2 linked regions of the Notamacropus eugenii genome follow. The protein of the gene in region 2 interacts with the protein of the main gene of each other region in a biochemical or structural test. Links are inferred from orthologs where the notes say so. Each region holds a gene or a part of one and is shown on either strand. Other genes may lie near its edges.

What was found. The genes of interacting proteins can lie anywhere in the genome.
Region 1: the proteins of BNIP2 (region 2) and ARHGAP1 form a complex in vitro, tested with the Homo sapiens proteins (2 studies listed by BioGRID). The link is inferred for Notamacropus eugenii from reciprocal best matches to the Homo sapiens genes BNIP2 and ARHGAP1.

The regions. Positions count from the first base shown.
Region 1 is NC_092877.1:4,149,558-4,160,359, forward strand, and holds the start of ARHGAP1 (rho GTPase-activating protein 1), read left to right. Parts: upstream 1-6,071; 5' UTR 6,072-6,242; intron 6,243-6,278; exon of another isoform or gene 6,279-6,464; coding exon of another isoform or gene 6,465-6,514; intron 6,515-6,951; exon of another isoform or gene 6,952-7,238; intron 7,239-7,514; exon of another isoform or gene 7,515-7,539; intron 7,540-10,802. UniProt on the Homo sapiens protein: GTPase activator for the Rho, Rac and Cdc42 proteins, converting them to the putatively inactive GDP-bound state. Cdc42 seems to be the preferred substrate.
Region 2 is NC_092872.1:149,410,881-149,420,647, forward strand, and holds the start of BNIP2 (BCL2/adenovirus E1B 19 kDa protein-interacting protein 2), read left to right. Parts: upstream 1-5,513; 5' UTR 5,514-6,503; coding exon 6,504-7,028; intron 7,029-9,767.

The DNA of each region.
Region 1 (10,802 bases), on a different chromosome or scaffold from region 2:
CATTTCTCCTTGAGCCTTGATCCCTGAATGGGTGTTGCCTCAAGTCAATCTCAACCTGTTAAAGATTCCCTTTATAAAGGCCAAGGTCCTCACTGCATCCTGGGCCATCTCCAGTCCTCCTGGTCGATATCTGGCCACTGGACTCAAACGACTCAGGAGGAGAAAGTGAGGCTGGTGACTTTGCCCTGCGCTGCCCTCCCTCCCTCACTGAAATCCACTTCACTTGCACGTTGTGGCATCGCTTCCCAACGCCCTCTTCATGATCTTCATGGACGAACGACAAACAACAGAGGCTGGCACATTTCTGTCGTGGCCTCGTGGGGTCTGGCTCTTCATGACCCCATTTAGTGTGGTTTGCCATTTGCTTCTTCAGCCCATTTTACAGATGAGGAAACAGAGGCAAACAGGGTCACACAGCTTAGTAAGTGTCCGGGGCCAGATTTGAACTGAGCGCCTCCTTCATGCAGGGCACCGCCCTGGGGGTGACAAGAAACACAGGCCTGGGCACGGTGGGTGCCCTCGCGGAGATCCCGGGCGTTGTATGGGGTGAGCACGCAGGCCTGGGCACGGGGGTGCCCTCGCGGACATCCCGGGCATCATATGGGGTGAGCACGCAGGCCTGGGCACGGGGGTGCCCTCGCGGAGATGCCTGGCGTTGTATGGGGTGAGCACGCAGGCCTGGGCACGGGGGTGCCCTCGCGGACATCCCGGGCATCGTATGGGGTGAGCACGCAGGCCTGGGCATGGGGGTGCCCTCACGGAGCTCCGTGGGACACAGGGAGCCACCAGACGCGCTCCTGACGAGGCCACTCGAGGTACGGGCGCTTCGGAAGAGACCAGATGCGTCAGACGGCGATCGATCAATCGGAAATGACCGTTTATCAGATACCCAGTGTGCCAGCCGCCACAGCCAGGCCTGGCCCGGAGCCTATGGCCTGTGGTTTCTATGGCAGTTTAGAGGAGGGGGTGCTATTCCGACCATGCCAACCGGACAACAGGGAAACTGAGGCACGCCCACAGGTAATCACAGGGTCAGGAGACTTTTGTCTCCGCCAGGTTGGCTCCGGGAGCCAAGAGTGGCCTCTGGAACCCAAGCGCTCGGGCCTTAGGCACTTTGCATATTCATGAGGGGGCGGGGCAGTCACGGGGGGGGGCGGGGCAGTCCCCGGGGGGGCGGGGCACGGAGGGGAAGGGCGGGGCAGTCACCAGGGGCGGGGCACGGAGGGGGAGGGCGGGGCAGTCACGGGGGGGGGCGGGGCAGTCACGGGGGGGCGGGGCACGGAGGGGAAGGGCGGGGCAGTCACGGGGGGGCGGGGCAGTCACCAGGGGCGGGGCACGGAGGGGAAGGGCGGGGCAGTCACGGGGGGGCGGGGCAGTCACCAGGGGCGGGGCACGGAGGGGGAGGGCGGGGCAGTCACGGGGGGGGCGGGGCAGTCCCCGGGGGGGCGGGGCACGGAGGGGAAGGGCGGGGCAGTCACCAGGGGCGGGGCACGGAGGGGGAGGGCGGGGCAGTCACGGGGGGGGCGGGGCAGTCACGGGGGGGCGGGGCACGGAGGGGAAGGGCGGGGCAGTCACGGGGGGGCGGGGCAGTCACCAGGGGCGGGGCACGGAGGGGAAGGGCGGGGCAGTCACGGGGGGGGGCGGGGCAGTCACCAGGGGCGGGGCACGGAGGGGAAGGGCGGGGCAGTCACGGGGGGGGGCGGGGCAGTCACCAGGGGCGGGGCACGGAGGGGGAGGGCGGGGCAGTCACGGGGGGGGGCGGGGCAGTCACCAGGGGCGGGGCACGGAGGGGAAGGGCGGGGCAGTCACGGGGGGGGGCGGGGCAGTCACCAGGGGCGGGGCACGGAGGGGGAGGGCGGAGCAGTCACGGGGGGGGGGCGGGGCAGTCACCAGGGGCGGGGCACGGAGGGGAAGGGCGGGGCAGTCACGGGGGGGCGGGGCAGTCACCAGGGGCGGGGCACGGAGGGGGAGGGCGGGGCAGTCCCCGGGGGCGGGGCACGGAGGGGAAGGGCGGGGCAGTCCCCGGGGGCGGGGCACGTCAGCTCGAGCGCACAAGGTCGGGGCCCAGCCAGAAGCGGAGGCGCAGCCGGGACTCGAACCTAGGTCTTTCCACGCCCCAGGGGAGGGAGGGCGCGGGGAGCCTGGGCGGCCTCTTACAGAGGAGGAAGCTGAGGCCCGTGCCCCTCGGCCCCGCCCCGCGCCTCTGGCTCCGCCCGCGCGTGGCACGTGGCAGGCCTTCCGCTGCTGTGACGGGGTTCCCAGCGCACTCCTCACCGCGCCCCCCGGCACCCCAGAGATCATGGGTCCAGCCCTCACTGAACACCAGGGGAAACTGAGGCCGGAGGAGCCGAGGCCCCCAGAAGGCAGTGACTCTCTGGGCTTTGTGTTCCTGGAACACCGCAGGCGATTAATGGGACACATTCTGGGGCAGATAGAGCGCCCCGAGCAAGTCTGCGGCTGCCGGGAGGGGCGGGTGGCGATCTGCGCTTGGGGAGGGGGTGTTCTCACCGGGAGTCCTTCCTAGTGGGGATGCCGGTGACAGCAGCCAGCATCTCCGCAGCCCCGGAGGGCTGGCACAGCCTTCAGACGGTGTCTCCTCGGATCGCTAGACGCCGGTGGTGTTTTCCAGGTCAGGCTCTTCGTGACCCCCAGGGTTTTCTTGGCCATTCCCTTCTCCAGCTCGTTTTATAGATGAGGACACTGAGGCAGACAGGGTGAAGTGACTGGCAGCGAGCCCCGACCCCAGGAGGGCCTGCTTTCCTAAAAGAACGTTCTTTAATCCCGTGCCCCAACAGAGGAAATACAAGCAGGGAAATGACCCACAGACAGGGCTTCGGTCCGACCATGAGCAATACGTACATCCCAGATCAACAGATGGCTCCACGTCTGACCATTACATGCAGAGTTGGCACCAACATATACATTCTTCAGGACCGCAGGGCACTGACCCTCTTGACTCTGCCTCTAGCAACGAACAAGAGGTGTGGGCCTTGCTACAAAACGAGCTTCCCCTAAGCAAGCTTCTCTCCAAGGGCTATAGGTGAGGTCTATTAACGGGTGGGGGAAGACCTTGAGCTCTGGCGTCAAAGTCCTAGTAAGTATTGGAGGCCAGATTGGAACTCAGGAAGATGGGTCTTCAAGACTCCAGGCCCAGACTTCATCCACCGCCCCCCAGCTGCCCCTGTTCCTGGGAAAGCAGGTGCATCACAAATACATGCTTGTTGACCAGAGACTTTTTTTTCCTTAAAAATTTTTTTAATATTTTCCCCCAATTACAAACTTTAACGTTCATTTAAAATTTTTTTGACTTCCACATTCTTTTTCCCTTTTCTTCTCCTCCCCTTCTCTCTCTCAAGAAGGCAATTTTATATAGATTATGCATGTATAGTCACGCACAGCACATTTCCAAGTTAGTCATATTGTGAAAGAAAACATAGACAAAAAAACCCACAAGAAAAATAGAGAAAAAAATATGCTTTGATCTGCATTCAGACTCCATCAGTTCTTTCTCTTGAGATGGAGAGTTTTTTTCATCATAAGTCCTTCAGAATAGTCTCGGATCACTGCTGAGGCTAGCTGAATCATTCACAGTTGATCATCATACAGTATTACTCTTACTGTTGATAATGTTTAATATAAAATTTTGGAATAATCTCTTTGTTCTCTCTGAAGCAAACTCAGAGAATGCCTCTTCCTATGTCAACAAAAGCCTGCCAGGGCTGACTTACATTCCTTAAGAGACCTTTAACCTAAGACACTATCTTGAATAATGGGACGTTTTCCATATCTTAATATTTGTAGACATATACTATGTTATGGCATGTTAATGGTAAAGAAAACACAGACATCTTAGGTCGTAATTTCTATTGAACTTTGTTTACCCTTTCCTATGTCAGTTACCTGTTTAGGGCAGGAAGCCCACCACTTACATTTCCAAGACATATGTTTACCCAGCTTGGAATCCCAAGGCCTGACCAATATTGCTTTGTTAATTGTCCTGTCTTACTGAATTTATGATTTGTTCAACTAGGAGAGTTCTTTTCTCACGGCAAAATGTATATAGGCCAGAAGATTTCTGCACTGGGTAGCCAGAACATTTCTGGCTCCATAATGCATTATGTAACTGTTTTCTTTATGGGGAATTAATCAATTAATTAATTAAATCATAAAATGTATGCATTTAGCCATGTTGCCTTTTCTTCAACAAGTTTTCAGGTCAACACAACCTATGCAATTAAGAAATTCCTTTCTAATGGTGTAGTTAATCATTCATGGAGATCATAAATCTGAAGGACACAGAACACTTCTTTGCCCTAAAAACATATTTAAGGCTTCCCAGTTCTTTGTATCGGTAGCCAGAACATTTCTGGCTCCATAATGCATTATGTTACCGTTTTCTTTAATAGGGAATTGATTAATTAATTAAATCATAAAATGTATGCATTTAGCCTGTTGCCTTTTCTTTAACCAAGTTTTCAGGTCAACACTGTATACAATTGTTGAGGACCAGGGTGGAGTGCGGTGGACAAGATCAGGAAAGACCTTTGGGGAAACTGTTCTTTGAGACTGTGCTCCTTATCATCCAGAATGGCTCTCCATGACCCCTGGATGTTGCTATCTCCCTGAGACAAACGAGAATTACAGAAAACAAGGGATATGTAAAATAGATGCCCCCTAGGCTAACAGTCTTTAAAGACAATAAGACTGGCCAAATCACTGGGAGACAGAAGAATCTCACGTAGACTCGCAGTTTCTGTCTATATATACCCTAACCCTTGGATCAATAAATGGAATTGGTCCATCTTTCCCCGCCTCCCGTGTCTTTCTTCTTCACCACATCACCAAGCCCGTGTGTGGAGGCAGGCCTTCTGCTACATACACTGTTCCGGCTCTCATTTCACTTTGCATCAGTTCATGCAAGTCCAGGTTTTTCCGAGAGCACCCTACTCATTTCTTATAGCACAATAATATTCCATCACAACCTTATACACGTTATTCTCGTATTCCCCAAGTGATGGACATCCCTTAATTTCTAATTCTTTGTCACCACAAAAAGAGCTGATACAAGTATTTTTGTACATATAAGTCCTTTTCTTTTTTTCAGTCTCTTTGGGATGTGTGCTTGTCCTTCATTCTCAAAGAGGACCATGACATGAAGATGAGGACATGACTTGCCATTGACTTTGATTTGAGGGAGGGAGGGCTGTGCAAGGTCACTTTCTTCTTGTGCCTCACTTTCTTCTCCTGAGCCACCAGGGTCCAGTGGCCAGATAGTCCTCAGGATCACTGGAGATGGCCCCGTCCTTTCAGGCTGAGGTCTTATAGCATTTTGACTTTAAGTGAGGCACACTCATCTTTGGCACACAGACCTGGGAATGCTAGCAGCTCAAGCAGAGGGCAGGGCTCCACGCTCCTCAGCGGACGCCTGCGCAGGCGCAGAACGCCCCAGACCGCGCATCCGTGTGTCAGTTTCCCCACAGCCCCGCCCACACCGGTCCGGGCCTGGGTGGCAGCTCGGAGTTGTTCCGGTTTGCGTGTCTCGCGTCCCCGCAGCTTGTCTGAAAGCTGTCAGTTGTCAGTTGTCTTTTAGACTCCGTTCTGTCCACATCAGAGAAATGAGGTCTTCGTCTGGGAGCTGCGTTCCCGTGTCTGTCCTGCTGTCTCTCTGTCCTTCCACCCTGTCCCTTCTCAAGTGTTCGCTCTGACCTTTGCCCTCCGTCCATCAGCACCCCGTGACCCCATCCCCTCCTCCCGCCCCCTTGATTTCAGTTTGTAAGTGATCATCCCATCTGGACCCTCCTAGGGAGAACGTTCTGGGGAGTTACGAGCGTAGGAACGGGAAGCGTTCAACCTCATCGAATCCTTCCTGCTTCCTCTTTCCTGGTTTACTCTATTTCTGAGCCACGCAAGCGCAGAGAGCGTCGGACTCCGTGGGCCTATCAGCGAGGGCGGAACCCTATTTCTCCGCCTCTGTCCCCACCCGGAGAGGAACCGGAAGGGAACGGCAGAGGACGCAGGCGGCCCCTCCCCCAGGCGGAAGCGGCCATGTTTGTTCGTGGCAGCGGACCGGAAGCGGGTGCGCGGCGGGGCGGAAGTGGCGGGGCGGTGGCTCCGGGGTGGGTGTGGGTCTGCGGGAGAGTGCCTGCGGGGGGGGCGGCGCTCCTCCCTGCTCTGCTCCCTCCCTCCCAGCGTCGGCTCCGAGCCGGATGTTGGCGGAGCTGTGACAGGAGGCGGCGGCGGCGGTGAGCTGGGCCGGGGCCGCGCGGGGCGGGGAGGGGATCGGGACCCCGACGGCGAGAAGAGGGGCGGGCTCGGGCCCGCGGCGGCAGCCTCCTCCGGGCCGGAACCGTCGTGCGGACGGGGCAGCTGAGCCTGGGAACGGAGGTCTCCGCCGCGCCGCTCCCCGGGCCTCAGTGTCCCCGTCTGTAAAACCCCTCCCTCCGCTGCCTGAGGTGTCGCCCTGGATGAGTCACTTCCTCTTTCCGGGCCTCAGTTTCCCCTTCTGCGGGGCTGGGTGAGTGACCGGGAACCTCGCTCGCTCGGTCGGCGCGTGAGCTGCCCCCGGGCCTCAGTTTCCTCCTGTGGAAGGCCGGCCTCCGAGGTGCTTCGCAGCGGTGTGCGGGGCTCCCCCCCGCCGTGTGCGGGGCTCCCCCCCGCCGTGTGCGGGCTCCCCCTGCCGTGTGCGGGCTCCCCCTGCCGTGTGCGGGGCTCCCCCCCGCCGTGTGCGGCCCCCCCCCGCCGTGTGCGGCCCCCCCCGCCGTGTGCGGCCCCCCTGCCGTGTGCGGGGCTCCCCCCCTCCCTGTGCGGGGCCCTCCTCCCTGTGCGGGGCTCCCCCCCGGTGTGCGCCCCGGACTGGTCCTTTCCCCGTGGGGGCCCATCCGGGTGACCCGCCCCGGCCGTGCATCCCCCGCAGCCGCGCACTGCAGGGCCGGGCCCTCCTCCCGGTGGCCCGGCTCCGAGGCTGCTAATGGTCGGAGCGGGGAGCCCGTGCGGGGAGCGCCTTAGGGATGGGGTGATCCCGCTCCCTCGTCTTACACGCGAGGTACCCGGAGACTCCCCGCCCCCCAATGAAGGTCCCGCAGCCTGGCTTCAGATCCGGAGAAGCTGGTCCGAAGGAGGGTGGGCTAGGGCAGGGGGGAGGGGCCGGGTTTCCTTCCACGTACCTGTCCGGAGCCCCTCCTTCTTTTCTCCCTTGGGAAACAGGCCCTGCCAGGCTGGGCGCTGGTAGAGCGTCCCAGGTGAGTTCGCTGTCCTGGTCTCGGGTGGTGATGAGGCAGAGGGAGTTCCTGGGGGCCCCGGGGTGGTTTAGTTCTGACCAGAGAGGTGAGACGCTGGAGTGCAGAATGGCACCCCCCGTTTATCTTGTAGCAGCAAAGAGAGAGACAGCCGTTTCAGTTACGGGTGGGAGCAAGCTGGTAGGGTTCAGACACTAGGGGGGCTCTGAAAGCCCCAGGGCTGGCCTAGCCTCCTTGTTTCCGCAGGTTCAGGTCAAGGTGATCCACCTCCTTTAAATCTGGGTCCCTGATCTGAGTCGTGGAGGTGAGCTGTTCAGCCTTCTTTGGTGGGTAAAGGCTTAGATTAGCACCAGGGCACCCCCATGCCCACTTTGGGATGGCACCACACAAGAGGCCCATTATCTCTGACCTTTGCGTTGCTGGTCTTTTCTCCAGAGAGGAAGAAGCACAATCTTAGAGTGGAAAGTTCAGGGTCTGTGAAGCAGCTTAAGTTGGAAATTCCCCGGGCCAGGAGGATGCAGCCTCTCCTGACCCTCTTTGATGGGAGATTTGGGGAGCAGCTTTCTGGGACTGGGGTGAACTTGTCGGCTGTAGCTTTAGAGGTACTGATGGAGGTCAGCCAGGAAGGGCGGGTGCAGTCAGGAAGTGAAAGCTGTGGAGTTGCAGAAAGGCAGTGAAATTTCAAGTTCAACCCTTTTTCAAACGTTGGCCTCCTTCCTCCCTTGCACATACTTGAGTTCCAAGATGCTCTCTCCTTTGGTGTAGAGCAGGAGAGATTTTTTCAGAGCTCATATAGTTCTTTATTTCATCCACGGGGATGAAATCCATCCATTGGGGCCCACTGGCAGAGCTAGGGCTGTTCAGCGGGGTCAGCAGAGCATCTGGCATGGGTTTCCTCTAGCAGCTGCCCTTTTGAGGGCCTTTCCCTCCTTGTGTCCCAGGGACACTAGAATGTGGGCAGTGGAATTCCCCAAGGAAAGGTCTGTGTGGCACAGAGTGGGCATGAGGAAAGCAGTTGGTATTGTGGTATGGAGTCCAAAGTCTTGGGTTTGAAACTTGGCTCAGAGCCACTTAGTAGTGGTGGGAACAGGAAGTCACTTTCTCCAGATAGAAAAAAAAGGGCAAGGTTTCCCACTGCATCTCGGGCCATCTCTAGGCTCCTGATCCATATCTGGGCACTGGGCCCAAATGGCTTCAGAAAAGAAAGCGAGGCTCGTGGCTTTGCACAACCCTGCCTTACTTAAATTCAATTCCTCTGCTGTCATGATATCACCTTCCTCAACAACAAGTGTCCAACTGAGCCTCGGTTCCCTCTAGTTCCTAAGCATTGGATCGGTCCAGAGATTCAATGGCTTGCCCTCTAGAGGCCTGATTCCCAGCTCTGCCACTTCTGACCCCTGTGACCTCAGGGCCTCAGTTTCCTCATCTTGAAAATGAGGACTTTGGCCCAGATGACCTCGAAGTTCCCTTCTAGTTGTACATCTCAGCTCCTGTGTTATAGGGAAGGTTCCTGAGCAGGTGTGGTTTGAGCTTGAGAGCCAACCTTTCAACCTGGAGCTCCCCTAATTCAGTATGAAATCAGGGGAGCTTGGGCCCTTCGGACCTTTTTTGATTCTGTAGCAGTATCTTTAGAAAGTCACATTGTGGCATCCTAGAGTGTCAGACAGTCATAGGGTCACAACAGCTACGACTACAAGAGCCTTCATAGGTCTTCTAGTCCAACTCTGACATTCTACAAATGAGCAAACTGCGACCTATGAAATGACTGGTCCAAGGCCACACAGGTGTCACGTGGCATAGCCAGCCCTCTGGCTCAAAGACAGCTTTCCCTGGACACTTCATGTTGTCTTTTCCCCCGAAGGCCCACACTTGAAAACCTCACAAGAGAGGGAGTCCCCTGTTTTCTGGGGGCAGTCCTTTCCAGTTTTGAGTCATTAGAATTTTGGGGAATTTTATCACCTGTAAAGAAACAGATTCAACCAAGGAATGACTTGTTGGTTACACCATTATTAAGTGGAACCGAGCCAAGCTTCAAGCCCAGGACTTCTGCGACCAAACGCAGGCTCTCTCCGTGTTATCACGACACTGCCTTGCTCACCCCTGTGCCCCACCAGGCTATGTTCTGTGGATTGCACTGCAGACTTTCCCTGTAACATTTTAGCAAATAGTAACTGAAGGAATCAGGTCGGTGAGCTTAGTAAAAAATTTATGCAAACTCCACCCAAAGGAGAGATCGCATGGGCCCAAGACGTGCTGGGAGTGATGCGTGTAGGTGAGCCATCAGGCAGGGCAGAATCTGGCCCATGCTCCAGGTCACTTGAAATCAGTCTTCCCACTGTGGGACAGGAAAGCAAAGGTGAATGACTTTTGATTTATGATTTGTGGAACACAGTCTCCCTTTAAAAAAAAGCAAGCAATTCATCTTCATCCGGTGACAGTGTTTGCCAAGCACTTTCTTCCCAGTCCTGGGGAGCTCAGTAGTTGTAAGGCAGTGGTCCTTGAGGTGGGGATTGGGAGTAGAAGCTGGGAGAATAGCTTACTGAGAAGGAACATGATATTTCCTTGTAAGGAACAATTCTCTTGGGGAAGAAAATTGTATTTTGCATTGGTAGGAAAGGCTGGGGTAGCAGCGGTCTTCTGGGGGCAAGCAGGATCATTTCTTCTTTGGTTGAAATGCTCCCCAGGAAACTGATCTGGAGCTCAGAAGAGCTTTTCAGCACTGACTCAGTGTGGTTGCCTGGTGACAGGGTGGTGGTTGCTAGGTGCAGGGAGGCAGTTTGCCATCCCAAGTCCTTAGCTGGGCCTGCCAGTGCGTAGTTGTTGCATTACCTCATGACCCAGAGGAGTTCCGGGTCTGGGCCCTGGCCTTGCAGGTTCTGGGCCCTCCTCCTCCCTGCCATTCCATCAGAGCCTTGTCGATGCGTTCCTTATCTTTCCTACTGATCCTCTGACCATATATGTCTTGTTTGGGCTCTTGGAATGTGTCTGGCTCTGAGCAAGCTCACTCCTGGGACCTCTAGCGGGAAGCAGATAGATCTTGGATTTCGTGGGGATGTAGGGAGGCCCTAGAACCCACCTCCTAACCACACACGACCACGCCCTGCTTTCTATAACCGGAATCCAAGCCCCAGGGAGTCCAAAGGCATCCCAATTCTAGGCCTAGTTTTTCCTTGGATCTCTAATTCTGGGAAGATTTTTCCATTTTCCTCTCCCACAGCTAGGGCTGTGGATGTTTCTTTTTTCCCCACCTCCACTTCAGCCTGCCCATCCAGCTTTGTCTCATCTTGGAGGGGCAGAGCTGGGCTTGGGCAGCAGCCCTGCCTCTAGCTCTGTCCCATCCGCTATGCGGTTTCCATCACTGGATCCCATCTGGGGCCCTGCCCTTTTTCTTCTGAAACGCGTCTCCTGACCTCTCCTCTATGCCACTGCTCCTCTGGACTTTGGTTTCTAGTGAGGACACCAGCCGACCCATCAGAGTGCCCCTCTTCCCTCCTCCTGCCATTCTCAAACAGTTGGCAAGACTGTGTGGAGGCCGTGTGGCCAGCCTGTAGTGCAGGGCCTAATCAC
Region 2 (9,767 bases):
GGGAATATTGTATTTTCTAAATAAAATTTCTTGTCCATAAGGCCTCTCTCTCTGCATCCCTGATTTCCAGGCTTGTGGGCAGTTAGGGCCCTCCTTCCCCTCCCTTCCCTCTGTGAGAGTGCTACCTGAGCACTGGTATTTTTACCAAATAAGAACAAAATGGACTGTAGTTGAAACTTGGAAGTTAATCAAATCTGTCTTTGTTTGATAGCTCCCTCTTCTCTCCCTCCCCTCTTCCCCTCCCTTCCTTTTTAGTTAGTTTAGTTGTAGAATAGCCACATCAGCAGTTAGTTATGTATTAGATAAGGAAGTGTGTCTTGTCTAGTTTTTCCGAGCTTAGTCTTTAAACCTGCCTCCCAGCCAATGGAGAGGTGGTATATTGGGGGGGGGGGGGGGGGGAGAGGGGAGGAATTCTCTGCATTACAGTTTATGATGGTGCCTTGTTCTCTGTAAACTGCCTCCTTCCACTAGTCCGGTTCTGGTGGAAGAGATGTCCCTTTCTCGCAAGAACTGAATAAAACATTTTCTATTCTTACCTCAAGAAGTCTCTTTATTTTCTAAAATTTTGGGAAAGGGTCTTGTACCTTACATAGTCCCATCTGGAGTTTTCTTGGCAAAGATACTCCAGTGGTTTGAGAAACTGAGGTAAACAGGATTAAGTGACTTGTCCAGAGTCAGACAATCAGTAAATGTCAGAAGTCAGATTTGAACTCAAGAAACTAAGTCTTCCTGACTCCAGACTTGGTTCTCTATCTGATGAGGTACAGGCCCTTTGAATCTTCCCACTTCATCTGGAGTTCGCCTGAGGCCATAAGCCTTTCATTAATGCTTTGTCCAATTGCTTCAGGCTACTTCCCACCTTTGATCCTATCAAAATCCCACTCTGTTGGTTCTGACCTCTAGTTACCCTAGTCCCATCAAGATCCTCCTTAGATTCCTCCTCAAGACCCTCTCTAAACCCCTCCTCTAGTTACCCCAGACTACTTGGCCAACCCTAGATACTTCCCACAATCTTTATGTATGTAAGATCCATCCTACCTCCATGAAGGCACTCAGATTCAATCTAGATGAGATTCAATCTGGCTCACTTGTCAATACAAGCTTCACAAATGCTCAGATTCCTTAGGAGTCTATTCATTGATGAGATTCCTTAAGAGTCTACCCAATATGGCAAATCTTTAATAAACTTTGTTTTTGTTTGACTGAAAGAAGACTTGAGTCGAATTCATTTGGGCAGGACCTGGTGTGTCAGTATTTTGGGGTCCTAAGCACCCCTAAACCCCAACATATCCATTGGGCCACCTAGCTGCCCCCATTTCTAACATTGTGAAATCCTGTAAAGTCCATTGGAAGTATCCTTTAAATGCTAGAGATGGAAGGGAACTTAATTATCATTAAGTCCAGCACCCTCATTTTACAGATAAAGAAACTAAGGTACAGAGAGGTCATTCTTGTGTTATACACCTTAACTTTACTTCAGCCATATATAGGAATGTTTTTAACCTTGATCTCACTGGCATGAGAGCTCTACTTTCATGATTCAGAGCTCTGATAACCTTCTGTTTAGCCACAAACTCCTATCTTTCAACTCACCTGATTCACTTCTTCTCCAGAAGAAGTCTTCACATGCTTGGGGTAGACACCACCCCACCCCACCCCCGCCTCATCAATAGGTTTGAGACTCCTTGGTTACCCTCAACTAGGTTTGGCCTTTCTGCTGAAACAGTTTATTGGGGTGTTGCCACTGCACATGCTGCAGCTTCTTGGAGCCACAGGTGAGAGTTGGGTGGAACAGGTGGACACCAAAGGTGGAAAGCAGCCCTGCAAAGAGCTTGACAGCCATCACACCAAAGGTACTGGTCCTCCCTGATTCCGAGCTTATATTGGTCTGGTCAACCACCGTTGGACATATTGAAACTTGAGTTTATGATGGTGATGTCATTTTGGTCCTCTTCAAGAAAGAAGGACCAACCAACCAACCAACCAATTCATTCCTTCTAAGCCTATTTTTCTTCATTGCAACTTCCAATAATTCCACCTCTCTCTCTTTCCCAGTCCACCTCTCTCTCTTTTCCCAGTCCATTACTCCTTCTCTGGCTTCTTTGTTACTTTAATGATACTGATCTTTTCATTTTTAGTTTTTTATTAGAATGTCAAGTAAAATCTGGGAAGTTGTTGGTATAGGAGGAGCTGGCAATCTCCACTATGTCCTTCCTTATCCCCAACTTGCTATGTTAGAAGCTCTGGGAAGTTTCCCCTTTGGATGAGATCTGGTACTCTATCTCTCTTGGTTGAGTTGAATTACCTCAGTCCCAATGGGAGAGTTCCTTCTTTTTGTATTGTCTGATATATTCTCACATGTATACTTTCTCTGTTTTCTGTTTTGCTATCAATTTGGAAAAATGGATTTCTTTCCTAAAAATAAAATCAGTTGGAGTTAGAAAACTATCTCTGCAAGAAATTAAAAACTCTAGAGAAATGCTGCCACTTAAGATAGATGTTCTACTGTTCTACTGATGCAGTTTAGTGTTGCTGGGAACCCTGACAACATGGTTTGGGGTTGCTGGGCACCCTGAAATGCCAGGGTACAGGGTGAGTCTGCCTGGAAAGAATTCAAGCACTCAAGCTTTTAGTCAAGGTAGCAAGGTTTATTGTAAACCTTGGGGGATCTGGATGAATTTGAAGTGTGGGGGAGGGCAGAGAATGATGCTTTTTAGTCCAAGCATTCAGTTTGGCTTCCAGCAGTCCCATAGTAACCTCCCTCATTGTAAAGCCAGCTGAGTGATGCTCTCTCTAGTTAGTTTTCTGTCCAGGAGTGTGATTGGTGAAGACAGAAGGACAGTCTGCCCCTGCTCCCACTGCCCCTACATCCCAAGGAGCCTTACACTGGTACAGAAGTTTCATGTAGTGGATTGAGAAGGTAGAAATCAGCTACTAAAAATGATTTTGCCCCACTGAGATCTAGGGAGACAGCTAGCAAGCCCTGTGACAGTATTATTATTTTTCTTTGGGCATGCACTCATGTTTCTGTGGATTTGTTTGTGTAGTGGTGCTCAGAAACTCTAAAATGGACAATGCACAGTAAGACAGTAGCTATCCAGAGCCTGGCTGGCTGGGAAGAGCTCTCCTTTGTGGGCCTGCAGAGCTCTGAGCACCATCCCTGAGGGAGTCGGGATGGGGGGACAGCATGAGGGCCTTCCACTCTGTGAGGCCCAGAGTAAGTGCCAAGGATAATCATGGAATGTAAGGTTTGTCTAACACCACTAAGGGATTTGTTTGGGGTCACTTCTGAACCCAACCTAGAACCAGTTCATGCTCATTTAGTTACTACTTGGAGAACAACATTGTAGGATACAGGAAGGCTCCTCTACACAGGTGTATACAGTGAACAACTGTAAAATGTAAGATGTAAAATATTCAACATTCCCTTTTATTTATCTTGTATTTTCCTTCACATTACCCTCATTTTTAATCAATAAAGAACAAATTGGAAAAAACGGGGGGTGGGGGGGGGCAGCTAGGTGGTGTAGTGGATAGACCAACAGTCTTGAAGTCAGAGGACCTGAGTTCAAATGTGACCTCAAACACTTACTAGCTGTGTGATCCCTGGGCAAGTCACTTAACCCCCATTGCCTCCAAATTAAAATCTTAAAGGGGGGGGGGGGGCGCAGCTAGGTGGTGCAGTGAATACAGCACCAACCCTGGAGTCAGGAGGATCTGAGTTCAAATGTGACCTTGACACTAGCTGTATGACCTTGGGCAAGTCACTTAACCCCAACTGCCTTGTCTTCACACCTCCAAAAAAAAACCAACAACAACAAAAAACCCTTAAATGCCAACAGGAGCCAGGTGAGATTCTTAGTGAATCTTCACCTGGATGGAGATGAGATATTTATATTAAAAAAAGGACACAGAAGATTTGGATGGGATTCAGGAGAGATAAACAGCAGGGGTAGTCCCGGTGTAACCTTGAAAGGATCTTGATGACATTAAGGAGTGTTAAATAGCCTGAGGTGGGCCAAAAGGGAAAATGAAAGCATTATCAAGTAAATTTATTAAGTGATCTAGGTGGGCTGGGGTGGCTCAGATTGGGGAGTGGGGGGGGGGTGCTTGTGATTTGGGCCACTGAAATGTACGAGTTGCTTTCAAAGACATGGTCTTTTTCTTTTAGGTGGCCAGGTCCCATCACCCCATTTCTTCCATGTGCCAAGTACTATATTAATCACTGGGAATAAAAGACCAAAAAAAAAAAGTAATTCCTGCGCAAAATACCTAACATTCTAACAGGATATATACACACATATGTGTGATCATAGACACATATACTACATACATGTATGCATATATATATATAGAATAAATACACATAGCACAAATACAAGGAAGTTGAGGGGAGGACACTACAAGTTGGACACTACAGTGTAGAAGGTAGCCCTTGAGTTGTATCTTGAAGGAAATGAGGGATTTGATGAGGCTGAAGTAAATACATGCATTTGGAACAACCAGGGAAAAGGCACAGACATGTGAAATGCAGTACTGTAAAGAGAGGCCGGTTTGGCTAGACCATAAGATTCAGGAAAGGGGGGTAGCAATGGACAATGAGACTAAAAAGATAGATTGGCACCAGATTATAAATGACTTTTTAAAAAGTTTATACTAGCAGTAATAGGATTTATTGAATAGAGGAGGGGCATGATTAGATCACGTGAGGAAAATCACTTTGGCAATTGGACAGTGGATTGGAGTTGAGGGACTTGAGTCAAGGATACTAATTAGAAGGCTTTTGTAATAGTCCACATGATAGCATAGGAGCAATGAAGGGATAGGGCCAACATAAATGTCTATGAGAGAACAGGTGGTCAGAGAAGGGGGCTAATCACCTAGTTTTCATATAATTCCACAGGAGCCATGGGAGTAGTAGACTGTCATGCCCTTTATAATAGCCAATGTTTATTTGATTATAAATCAGTGAGAAAGAGATTAAAAGCGGGGTGGGTTATGCTGCCTGCAACCAGTGCCAGCATCGGAAAGACAAGGGTGGGTGGAGTACTGGGGCAGAGTCGTTTAAAAGAAGAAAGGCTGAGTTACTCATCCTAGGTAGACGTAGTTCTTTAAGAAGATGGTCTCCATGAATTCGTGAGTGGGTGTGAGCTTTGCTGGAAGGTCAGGGTGAATCAGTTGGGTCTTGGTTCAGAGACTGGTGGCCTTGTGAGAGTAGAGAGTTGGCAGAGCAGAAGTCAAATTCCTGATCCCCTGACAGTTACACAGGGGTCAGGGCGGCCCTGGCATCAAGCTGAAGAGGTTCTCTATTTCTTCTCAGTCTTTAGAAAAACAAAATAAAACAAAACCCCTTGTTCTTTCTTTTCTCCTTCCTTTTTTCTTAAAACAAAACAAAACACCACCTGAATCCTCTCAGTAGCAGTTTTTAGACTTAGATTGAGGATGGCAGGGTCTTATCTTAGTTTATACTTTCTTACACACCTAGGTAAGAGTTTGGGCTCAGAGGATTTTTTTTTTTTTAATAAGAGCTTTTGTTTACTGACATTATGAGTAACAGCTGACATCACTTGATGGTTTGAAAACTGTTTTATCTGTACTATCCCATTAAAGATTTAAACCAAGTAAGTGGAGGACTTAAGAGTTAGACCTTACCTTAAAAGACTTATACTTCAACCCCTCCATTTTATATAAAAGAAAATGGAAAGTCAGCAAGATTAAGCAACTTCCCCAAGGGATACATAATACCTAGCAAGTGTTCCTGAAGGAGATGGCATTTGAAATGGACTTTGAAGAATGAGGAGGAATTAAGGAGGTCAATCAATCAATAAACACTTCTTCATCGACTACTATGTGGCAGGACACAAGGTTCAAGGTCTCCCCCATCTGGGGCTGTCTCCAGTCATCCTATTCCGTATCTGGGCATTGGACCCAGATGGCTCCGGAGGAGACAGTGAAGCCGGTGACGCTGCACAGCCTCCCTCGCTTCAATCCAATTCACAGGCAGTCATGGCATCACCTCCCTGATGCCACCCTCCTCTTCCACAACACAGGACAAACCCCTGTGCCAGGCACCGTGCTGCGGGCTGCGCTATAGAGAGTCCAAAGAAGGCTGGGGAACTGGAAGGGCTTACAAGACAATGGGTGACTGGCGCTGATAGAGCTCCGCGCCCGGAGCCAGAAGTACTGGGTACGAATCGGACCTCAGACACCTCCCGTGTGACCTTGGACAAGTCACTCCACCTCTTCCTGCCTCAGTTTCCTCATCTGTCAAATGGATAGATTAACAGCACCTAACTCCCTGGGTTCTTGAGAAGACAAAATATATATACTTTTAAAAACAACAGTTTTTGCAAAATGCTCTGCAAACCTTCAAGTGCTGTTTTATTCAAAGGTGACCGTGAATTTAGTGATGACCGTGGTAATTTAATGTCCAAGGGGAAGGCTCGGAGGGGTAGAGTTTAGGCTTCTAGGAAACCAAGCGGTCTGGTTCCAAGTCTGCAGAAATGGGGAATTTGGGGGGAGATTTTGGTCAAGCAGCCACAGTCCCCACTTTCAGTAGGGCAGCAGCCGCCGAGGAGAATCCCTCGAGAGGACTGCGCGTGCGCAAAGCTTCTCCCCAGCTACCCTGGCGACGGGACGAGCGCCGCGTCTCGGTGTCAGCGCGCATGCGCAAGGTCGGGCGGGCGTTGCAGGGGTGGGGTTTCCTCTCGTTTCCTTCCTTCCTTCCTTTAAGCCGGGCGCCGCGGCCCCTCTCCGCTAATTTGTGTCACCCCACCCCGGGCGAGGGAAGCGGAGCGATGTTGTCACTTCCGTCGAGGCCCCCATCTACATCCAGGTCAGCGCTCTTGCCGCTGCCGCTGCGGCTGGGGGACCTGGCTGGGGTCTCCGCCGCCGACCTAGGGGCTCTGGGGGAGCCCCGCGCAGGGCCCAGCTCCAGGCCGGTCCGCCCGGCTTCGCCGGCCTGGAGGGGCGAAGGGGACGAGGAACCGGAACCGGAGCCGGAGCCGGAGCCGGAGGCTGCCTCCCGGGTAGGTGCGGGATCTCGGCGGGGCCGGGGCGGGGAGGAGCTGCCCACCCCGGCGACTCCGGACGGGGTCGGGCCGGGCCTGGAGAGTGCGGCGGGCGGGGCCGGTCCGCCGACGCTCGGCGGCCGGATCATTGCTGCCCGGGCTCTCTTAGGGTGTTACCTGTCCCTTCCGTTGGCCCTGGGGCTGGGGGCAGCGGCGGAAGAGCAGCGCGTCGGGGCTGCGCAGCCCGGGTCCTTCCTGCCGTGGCCGGGCTGTGGCTTCCCAGGGCCATTTCCCGAGTTTCCTAGGCGCCTTGTGCCCTTAGGGAGTAGCTTCGGAAGAGGCGTTTGTAATAAGTGTGAGAAGCAGGGGATAATGAACGAGGGCCTTTTCTGGGAGCTCACCTGGCTGCCCCCTTTGTGGCCTCCTTAACCTTACGGAAAACACGTTCCCGAGAGGAGCCGCGGGGCTCCTGGAGAAAGTGCTTTGGGGATAGAGCTTTTCAACAGTTAAATTGACTCAAGTAGAGACCCACCTGGGCCGGAAGGCTCAGACGCTGAATCACCTCTTCTGTCCTTTTTGTGTCAGAACCTTCCTAGTCTGTAAGAGTCAGTTTCAAGCTGTTAGTACAGAGTTACAACCTAAGCTACTATGTAGCCCTTTATGTCGATTACAAGTCTCTTCCTCCTGTCCTTTGCGGCAGCTGGTGGGCTTACAGCTAGTTAGAAAGACGACTTCAAATGCAGATTCAGACATTTAATAGCTGCGTGTGACCCTAAGGAAGTAAACGTTTGCTTGCCTCAGTTTCCTCAACTGTAAAATAAGGATAACATAAACACCTACAGCCAAGGGTTGTTGGGGGTCTCTAAGGAGATATTTGTAAAAAGTGCTTATTGGTTCAGTGCCTGGCATGTAGTAGGTGCTGTGTAAAGTTTTATTCTTTCTCTCCTTAATTTAATAAATTGAAACCCCCAGAGAAGCCTGGTAATTCCGTTTTACAGAGGCAAAACTTAATGCTAGATTCTTTACTTCTACCTATTCTTAGTGATTAATCATTACTTGGCCTACAATGAACCTAAGCCTACAATTTTATTACTGCTGGTATTTCTTTTAAAATTGCCAATATACAAAATTAGCGTTTTATTTTACAGCCAAAATGTTTACATTTACTATTATACAACTAGATGTTAGAAAAGTAGTTGCTAAAAGTTATTACCCATTTTTTTCATGTATACCAGCAGTAGGGCTTTTAAGTCCTGCTGTTTCTTAGGTATTATACATTTTTTTCTTTTAATTGTACTATAATTAGTATATTTAGATTTCCAACAATTAAGCAACATCTTTGACTTTAAAGTTTTTGATTAGAGACTCCTTAATTTACTTTTCAACAACTGGAATTTTTTTTGCTATTTTTCCCTTGCCATGTAAGTGGGCATCATGTCAGGAAAGCATTTAAGATTTATCTTGGTGATTATGTGGTAATGTCCTATAATGTTACCAAAATTGTTGACTTTAAGGTGGGGAAATCTGAAAACATTTAAAAGGAGATAATGACACTCTTGTCTGAACATATCCTGTCTACCCACCATGTAATTTATTTAAACATACAGTACTATTATCAAAGTCTATTCTAGCAGTTATGACTAGACCTTGGTAAGAATGGATTTCAGTTTGAGCAATCCTGAATATACAAACTTACACTTTTGTCAGTTTTATTAATGGGGCTAACCTGTAGCAATTGCAGTATAGTTCAGAACTAAAATGAAATTGTAGGCATTATCCCACCTTCCCTCTCCCTTACCCCACATATCCAAATTATTTGAAAAGTCTTGATTCTGCCTCCTAGTCAGCTGGCACTTATTAGCACTTAGTGTGTGCTGAGCACTATGTGAAGTTCTAGGAAGTGCTAGGAATACAAAGGAAGGAAAAAACAACTCCTACCCTTGAGGAGCATTCGTTCTAATAGGGGGTATTACATGCAAACAATTATGTAAGTACAAGGTATGTACACAGTGATTGGAGGTAATCTCTGAGGAAAACACATCAGTATTGAGAGGTACTAGGAAAGGCCTCTGTTGGGAGGTGGGATTTGACCTGACACCTGAGGGAAGCCAGGAAGTAAAAGTATTCTAAGTAGGGGAGACATTAAATGAAAAGGCATTAATAGATTGTCCAGTACCTTGAGGGGTACAAATTATAAGAGTGGATAAGTAGGAAGGGGCCAGGTTGTAAAAGACTTTAAAAGTCAAATAGGATTTTATATTTGATCATGAAAGTAACAAGGAGCCAGTGGAGTTTACTGAGTAGGATGGTGACATAATTAGACTTGCGTTTAGGAAGATAACTTTGGCAACTGAATATAGGATGGACTGAAGTGGTGAGAGACTTAAAGCAGGGAGACCAACCAGAGCACTTTTGAAGTAGCCCAGGAGTGAAGTAATAAGAGACTAATCCAAGCTGTTTCCAAGGAGGAGAAGGGAGTATAGCCAAGAGGTTTTGTGAAGGTAGAATCAACAGGACTTTGCTATAGGGGTTCTGGTTGTTCAGCCATGTCCTGCCTCTTAGTGACGCCATGGAACATAGCATGCCAGGCCCTTCTATCTTCCACTGTCTCTGCAAAATCTGTCCAAGTTCATGTTCTTTGTTTCCATAATATTTTCTGTGTATCTCATCCTCTGTCCTTCCCTTTTCCTTTTGTCTTCAGTCTTTCTCAACATCAGGGTTTTTTTCCAAGGAGTCCTAGCTTCTTATCTGACCAAA